Linked DNA regions of Nothobranchius furzeri. The protein of the gene in region 1 interacts with the protein of each later gene in a pairwise test. Links are inferred from orthologs where the notes say so. Each region holds a gene or a part of one and is shown in the gene's direction. Other genes may lie near its edges. The genes, in order: sgta and gal.

What was found.
Region 2: the proteins of sgta (region 1) and gal interact in binary tests that used the Homo sapiens proteins (3 or more experiments, as listed by UniProt). The two-hybrid records come from large-scale screens. The link is inferred for Nothobranchius furzeri from reciprocal best matches to the Homo sapiens genes SGTA and GAL.

Annotation. Positions count from the first base shown.
Region 1 is NC_091748.1:79,901,977-79,905,796, forward strand, and holds part of sgta (small glutamine-rich tetratricopeptide repeat-containing protein alpha), read left to right. Parts: intron 1-516; coding exon 517-648; intron 649-847; coding exon 848-951; intron 952-1,024; coding exon 1,025-1,112; intron 1,113-3,689; coding exon 3,690-3,789; intron 3,790-3,820. UniProt on the Homo sapiens protein: Co-chaperone that binds misfolded and hydrophobic patches-containing client proteins in the cytosol. Mediates their targeting to the endoplasmic reticulum but also regulates their sorting to the proteasome when targeting fails.
Region 2 is NC_091754.1:40,202,119-40,206,578, reverse strand, and holds the start of gal (galanin peptides), read left to right. Parts: upstream 1-1,353; 5' UTR 1,354-1,432; coding exon 1,433-1,447; intron 1,448-1,526; coding exon 1,527-1,607; intron 1,608-2,766; coding exon 2,767-2,821; intron 2,822-3,135; coding exon 3,136-3,207; intron 3,208-4,460. UniProt on the Homo sapiens protein: Endocrine hormone of the central and peripheral nervous systems that binds and activates the G protein-coupled receptors GALR1, GALR2, and GALR3.

The DNA of each region.
Region 1 (3,820 bases):
GTTACGTTTAATAAACAGTCAATGGAATACTGAGGTAATAAAATGTAATGTAACATAAAAGTGGATTATCAGGATTATTGATCCTTTAATATTCGATGATGAAACTCGGTACTTTGGTTAATCGGGGAAACAACACTATAATAATCTGACTCAGAGACAAAAATGTAGTTTATAAAATCTGTTTATTACTATATTAATGATGATGAAAGGCTAATGATTATAAATATATCATATAAACCACTCTGACGTCCACACACTAGCGATGCTCCTTTACCAAAGCTCTTTAACCAGCCTTAACGGTTATTAACCAGTTAACCGTAAACCAAGCAGCCCTTTTACCTCTCTCTAAGTGGCACTGGCCCACAGGTGCTGTCGGAGAGGAACTGGTGGAGGTGCCAGTTTCAGCACAACACCGGCTACATTACAGGTGCTGTGTTGGAGCCAGCCGGTGAGCTTTAGGGTTCAGCTGGAATCGCTCGTGTTTCTAAACCACAGCTGGACTCACCTGTGTTCCAGGTGTCTCTCTCACTCACTCACTCTCCACCATCATGACGGACACCAAGCGTCTCGCCTTCTCCATCATTCGGTTCCTCCATGACCAGCTCCAGTCGGGGAATCTGACCCCAGATGCTCAGGAAAGCCTAGAAGGTGAGTTTCATCATTCTGACGTGTCTAATTGAGCAAGATAAAACTTGATGCCAGAGATATTGAAGAAATACCCAAATGGCTTGCCCTAAAGCGCTGAGCGGGTGGGGGAAGGGCCTCCGAAGCTGCAGTTTTATTCTGAAGACAGTAAAGAGAAATAAGCAGCTTCAGGACTTCTCGGGGTTCTCTTCATCTCCTTCAGTTGCTGCTCAGTGTTTGGAGACAGCGTTTGAAATCTCCACCGATGACCAGAGTCTCGCCGTCCCGCTGACGTTACCCGAGATCTTCACCGCAGCCACAGCCAAGGTGTGTGACGAGCTCCACTTCTGGATTTTGGTGTTTCTGGGTCCGGTCTGATGCCGTTTTTGTGTCCCAACAGTTTCCAGCTCAACCGCAGGCCAACAACTCCAGCCCCAGTTTGCCCACAGAGGAGCAGAAAGCTGAAGCCGAGCGGCTGAAAAGTGACGGTGAGTCCCGCTTCAGGTCCTGGGTGTGCGCGCTAACCCAACCTGGTTCAGAACCAAGAGCTGCAACACGCTGGACTCGCTGTACCCGCCGATGTTGTCCTAAACCCACGTGAACATTGTTAGTATCGTCAGCACATCTTGACTTCCTCCCTGTCAAAGCCAACTCTCTGTCCTACCAGCAGCTCTGGTCCATCTTCAGGTTGGAGGAAAGTTGCTGTGAAGCTGCTGCTGCTGTGGAAATCCCACATTTCAGACTCCGCCTGTGCTGTAGTTGAGGTGTTTTAAAGCATCCAGGTGGAGTGCATTTAAAGTCCCATTAGTCATCACGCACTGGTGGAATAGACCGCATCTCCACCGTTGACCCAGCTGTGGCTGTATCCGGTGGTTTAAGCTCCTGATCCAACCCCTTAAAGAGCAAGTCACCCCCTACCAGAGCCTTACTTCACTTCCTGTTTGATGTTGTTGCCTGGCAGCCCGCCGGTCACACACAGGCCCACAGCGGCATTGTTGCATCATAATGTACCTCTTAGCCAATAGCGATGGCAGATTTAAATTGTAATGCAGTGCTTGAAATCCTTGAAAATGCTTGAATTGCAAGCCTTTTTTAAGTGTATCTGGTAGTTAACTTACAGTAGATGTTGTGACAAGGGCGTTCTTTATGGCATCTATACTTCCAAGACCTTCTCCACAGTTTGTATCAACTCCACCATCTTCCAGGCCTGGCGGACTCGTCCTCTGCACAGAGAAAGAGTCTGGTTCCTCTCAGGCACAACGGCACGAGGGCGGCCCGACTAGGCAGCTCAACAACGACCAATCAGAAAACAGAGGAAATGCCGACTGTACTGCTGTAGTAACAAAAGGCGTCTGGCGACGGCACAAACGTCTTTTATTCTAGAAGAAAGGCTTTTAGCGCTTCTACTTGTTGTTTTAAAGACATGCCCAAGTCGTTTAGACCAGAGGAAAGAGCCGCGGCCAACTCCGCTTCAGTCGCCATGCTTATGACAAACTCGGCGTTGTGGTGTGTGACGTATGCTCAGTGCTGATCGGCTCGTTAGAGACCTCAGGGGGCGGGGTTAATTGAATCGGAGCGTTCCCAGACCCTTTCTCTGTGCAGCATTAACCAGAGGAGGAGTCTGGCGGGCCAGGCTAGTGTCTTCCTTGGATGGTGGTTTCTAACAGGAGGAGTTCCCTTCCACTGTTGGGATAGCAGCAGATGTTTGGTTTCCGTGGCTGTTCTCCAGAACGCCAAAGGTGCAATCTGCAGTGCTATACGTTGTGAGGTGGAGGTCTTTTGTCATTTGATCATCAAGGCTGTCCAGCAATTGGACCTTCTTCACTTCTTTTGAGCCAACGGGTTGACCTTGCTTCCCAATCTGTTTTCCATCGGTGGAGATCCCCTTAGGTATCAGAAACCGTGGGGAGAGAGGTGGGTTTGAATGTAATAACTGCTATGATAGGATTTCCCGTTGTTGTCACCTGTTTCTGTCTTCAGTGTCTTCCTTTATCCGTGCTTGAATGAAGCTGGCCTTTAGACAGCCTTGGTAGCTGAAGCTCCGTGTTTGGGATGTGTGTTCGGAGACCTGAACATCTGAAGGAATGCTTTTCTTCCACTCACCATACGCCCTCTCGCAGCCTTTACCAGCTCTTTCAGGTGGTTCATATCAGGCTTCACAACCAGGCAACGCTTCCCCTTTTCTTCACCGTTTTTATTAGTCCCTGACCAAATCAGTGGTAGCGTTAGCGGCAGCTTTAGCACATGCTTCAGCGCCAGGTGACAAGCCGGCTGCCTCTCTGGGATTATAAATATTATTTTCCCTTTTTCAGACGATATAAACACTTCGGATCACTTGTTTCCTTGTAGGTGTTAGCGCACCCACAGTGATCCCGTCGCTTTTATAGTCCCCCTGGTGCTTCCATCTTGGTTCCTACTGCTTCTCGAGCCTGACTCGACAATTCATAATAATATTATTAATGTGTGACCATACTGATCAACAAAGTAGACTAATCTGGTATCATTTAAGATCTGGAATAAATCATTATAGGAATAAACATTTACTGTAGAGCATTCGGCATTATTAAAACACATTTACTCATAACATATATGACTGTAATACCTTGTAAAGTTAGGAAATAATGTTATGAGCCAGAAAAGATCCCTATTCAAAGAGTCTTGTGTCCTCAGAGGTGTCTTGTGACATGGATAATGCTCAAGCTGAGAGATATTCATAATCTCCTGGTGTCGGGTTGGCACGACCTACTTTCATCCATTTGATGAAATAAGGCCTTGAGCAGAACCTTTAAATGTAACTAAGATGCACTAAAGTGCCAAATTATGGACTGCACGTGTCTGCAGCACGATTAGACACTCGGTTCTACAGTGGATCTGCAAAAACGTAGATTTGGGGGTGACTTGCTCTTTAAAGCTGCGTGTCAAGCAGGGAGGCATTGGGTCTTTGGTATGACTAAAGACTGGGACTGGGAGATCAGAGTTCAAGTGAGCCAACAGCGGTTCTGCCGGTGCTCTGGGATCTGTTTGTGGTTTATGAGCTGATGAATGGCGTCTGGTTCCTCCTGCAGGAAATGACCAGATGAAGGTGGAGAACTTTGCAGCAGCTGTGGAGTTTTACGCAAAGGCCATCAGTATGAATCCTCAGAATGCCGTCTACTACTGCAACAGGTCAGTCTTCTACCCTGGGGATGACTGTAAT
Region 2 (4,460 bases), on another chromosome or scaffold:
ACAAGCCGCACGAACCATAAACGCTGCGAGTTGTGAAGCGCGTTCCATCCGCGAGCCGCATCACCGCGCGGAAAGTGAATGCATCAAGCATAAACCAAGCTTAACAGACACGATCTGGCTTCAGCACGGACAGCCGTTTACACTCATGTTTTGAACGTCTCTGGAGATCTGCTCCCATGGGAGCATTGAACGATGAGAACTTTGACCCAAGATGTTTAAAATATACCTGTAAATAAAACATGAGCAACTATCAGGCCGCTACCAGAGACGAGCAGCACATCAGACAACTTTGTCATCACTAATAAAACTAAAGCTAGCAGAAATATCATGACACGGGTTGTATTTTGAAATATACCGGAAACACATCTCACTTCCTGTCTGGCACATGTAATTTCTTCTTCATGAATATTCGCATTCGGCTCTCAGACAAAAACAGAAAACACACAGAGACTCTGGAGCTCATTATCCGGATCTGCACTGCGGCCGGTGTGAATGCCGGACCGAGTCAGGACCTCACTCCTTCTGCATTTGGTGTGGATGAGGTTTGAGTCTTCCCATGCACAGATTTCTTCTCACACCCAACCATCTGTCAGAAGTCTTGGCGTGTCCTAACAGCTGCGTGGTGTTGTAAAAGAGCTGAGACATCACAACCTTTCATTTGTGCCTGGATCCTATTGTTATGGTCCAAGTTTCCTAAAATGGTTTGATGGTTTGCATCCTACAGTGCACTGCTTGCTGGTGCTCTAGTTGTATACTCTATTGTTTTGTTTTTTTACTTTTGCTGCTTTTTACCTGAACTGTCTGCTTTCAGCTGTGACAATGCACACGTCCCACTGATGGGACTAAAGAAGGATTATTTTATGTATCTTATTTTATAATCACCCTCGGAGCACCCTGAACACCTTTACTCTGTCCCTGAGAAAAAACCTTTGTTTGATTGCTATTTAATCAATATCTGCATCAATAACATGTCATCAAACCACACACGATGAATTAAAAGTGTAACGTTTTCATATTTATAATGTTTCTGTGTTCATTTGTTTTCTTCTCTCTACGGTTTTATTTATTACCTGAAACTTAATTGAACACCTCCTGAGGTCATTGTGGATTGATAAATGTAGATAAAACCCAGCCATGTCTCCACAGACACCGAATCACCGCAATCAAAATGGATTCATAACATGAAACAGCTTCAGCTCCTTCAGAGAGCCGCTGCGGTAATGAGCCCAGATTTAATCTCAGGTCTTCGAGAGCGAGGAGGACAAACCTGATGTGGCTCCTATTGGTGTGTTTGTGTGTGTGTATGTGTGTGTGTGGTGCTGACGCTAGCAGGCAGCAGCAGGGACGGGCTCCAAGCTCTTTAAAAGCCGGACCGAGTCGTGGCTCCAGCCAAACTCACATCAACTCTCCACTCAGTTCCACACGTGACGTCATGGTCCCGACGAAGGTAGGTCTACCTGTGGCAGGTGGCTTCCCGTCCAACCTGCTGTCTCCAGCAGCTTTTTAAAAAGTCTCTACTTTTTCAGATGCAGAGGTGTTGCAGTCTTTTTTGCGTGTCTCTTATTTTTTGTGCAACCCTGTCCGAGACCATCGGGCTCGTCATTGCGGTAAGTTCCTGCGTAACTTAGCAACTTAGGGCTCAGAGTGGTCAATGAGAGGATAACTGCTGAGGAAAACTATCATTTCAAACTATTGGATTTAAATAACTGCAATTAAATAATAAAACAACTTTATATTTATGAGAGTTAGAAAACAGCACAGTGCTTCAGATAAAGAACTAAAGCTCTTATTAATGTAATAAATGGTCATAATGCAAAGATGTTTATTAGAATTAAAGCTTTTCTTTAGAAAAACTCTTGATTCCGTGAGGAAATCTGCAAGATTCGTTCATTGTCACATTTTCCATCCCTCAAAGGCTCTGAGACTGGAAATGATAGACAAACATTTATAAATCTATATTTGTTATTTTTACTCTATAGAAGAAGAAGGAGATATAGTGAGCCCAAGGGTGTCGAAGGTTGATGTGTGTGTGTGTGTGTGTGTGTGTGTGTGTGTGTGTGTGTGTGTGTGTGTGTGTGTGTGTGTGTGTGCGCACGCACACAAAAAAAGGGGAAAGCATGGAATAAATTTAGTTGGAAGAGCGTGAGCCTCTGAGGGAGTGTGTCCAAACCCATGATCTCTGAGTCTTTACAGACTTTTAGAGCCAAGAGTTTCATTGTATGAGGGGTGATGTTGCAGGAGAATATTTAACTTAATTAGCAATGCGCCGATTTGAATTTTTGGGCCGATACCGATAGCCGATATTAAGATCACTGTTATGACCGATAACCGATATTTTCCGATACCGAAATTCTGACATTAATGCTTCTAAAATCAACAGATTTTGTATGGAATGAAAATGATTAAAGCTGAATTTACGTTATTATGGACACATGCCACACACATTTATGGTTTTGAGATTATTTAATTCACTGTTCACATGACTAAACAATTGCACATCACCCCCCCCCCCCCCACACACACACACACACCCTCTCAAACAGGCAAACAAATGGAGATGAGATGGAAAAAATATTGGTTGTTGATATCGACCCGGTTTTATTTATCGAACCGATACCGATATGTTAAAAAAGTACTAACATCGGCCGACACTGATATTGATGCCGATATATTGTCCATCCCTACTTTAAATAAGCTCACTGTAATAGTTAAGGAGACTTGTAAAGAGAAAGGAGAACAGAAGACAAGACGTGGTTTCTGTTTCAGGCAAAAGAGAAGCGCGGTTGGACTCTGAACAGCGCTGGATATCTGTTAGGTCCTCGTAAGTACAAACCACACACACATACAGTTTTCTGTGTAACACACAGCTCAAAGGGGACGGTGGAGCTCATCTCTGTGTTGGTGTGTCCATGTCCACTGTCTCCACTGTGTGTGTTTCAGCTAATGAAGTCTGATTTAGACATTACCTTATTAGCCAGAGGGCACGTTAAGTTAACAATGAGTTTCCAGATGTGTGTGTTTTTACAAGTTTGTGGAGGTACAGGTAGTCCAGAACACAAATCCTGGACCCTGAGCCGTGTGTGCGTGTGTGTGAAGACCAGGTAAAGGTTGCCCCTGCCTCATCCTGTGTTTCAGGTCGTATTGATCACCTAATTCAGATAAAGGATTCCCCCAGTGCCAGAGGCAGAGACGAGCTGGTCGCTCAATGTAAGATAGAAACATCCAGCTGCTGCAGGGCCTTGGTGTCACACCAGGAATTGCTCTGTTCAAATATTATCTGTTTGTGTTTCTCATCGCCTAACATCTGACCCTGCTGCCCTGTGCTTCTCTGTGACCCGGCTGCATTTCCAACTTTCATCATGTAATTACTCAGAGGAAGGTGTGAGTCTCAGTGGAATGGTTTCTGGCGTCGTTTGACAATAACGCACACACACACACACACACACACACACACACGCACGCGCACGCACGCACGCACGCACGCACGCACGCACACACACACACACACACACACACGCACGCACGTACACACACACGCACGCACGCACACACACACGCACGCACACACGCACGCACGCACGCACACACACACACACACACACACACACACACACACATGTACACGCACACAAGCACACACGCACATGCGCGCGCACGCACGCACACACACACACACACACACACACACACACACACACACACACGCGCACACAAGAGCCAGTTAGGCCAGACTACAGGTAACCAATCAGCAACAAGTAACATGTTTTCACAAGCAGGTGACCCTTTAGTTCTAAGAGGGAGGCTTTAATCTGCTGACATTGAAGGCATTTCTAAGGATTGCTGCTGTGCCTGCCGTGCATGACGTCACCATTCCTAACGCATCACTTATCTCCTGGTCCCACGCGGCTGTGGACGTATTCCCACAGCGATCACATGTAGTTAGAGTGGGGCAAGCAACCCAATGGGAAGGAGCAGAGTTTCCCCAAACCAGCAAGGCTGCCAGGGAGGGAACCGGTGCCATCCCCCTATGATGGTAGAGGGAGGAGAACTTTCATGTAAAAACCGTGAAACGCGGAGCACTATATTATCTTGTATGTCCATAAACAGCAACTGTATTCAAGATGGAGCATGTGGAGCGTCACCCACAGTTTATATTTGTACACAGATGTGTAATTTCAAGCTAATAGGAGTGTTTAGAATAGACTTTGGTGAGAATTATTAATGAAAAGGACATGTTTGTGAATGTGATACACAAAATGGATTCTAAACAAGTACAAATATTACTCTGTGGCCTTAATGTTGTGGCTAGCTCAGAGTTTAGACGGAGATGGTGTTGTTATGGAATTATGGACATTGCAGCAGGGACTTAACCAGATTATTATTCTCATGATGGAAATTCACTTTTCAAAAGATCATAACTTTTGTTCATCCAAAAAATAAGTGAAAGCTAAACCTATCGA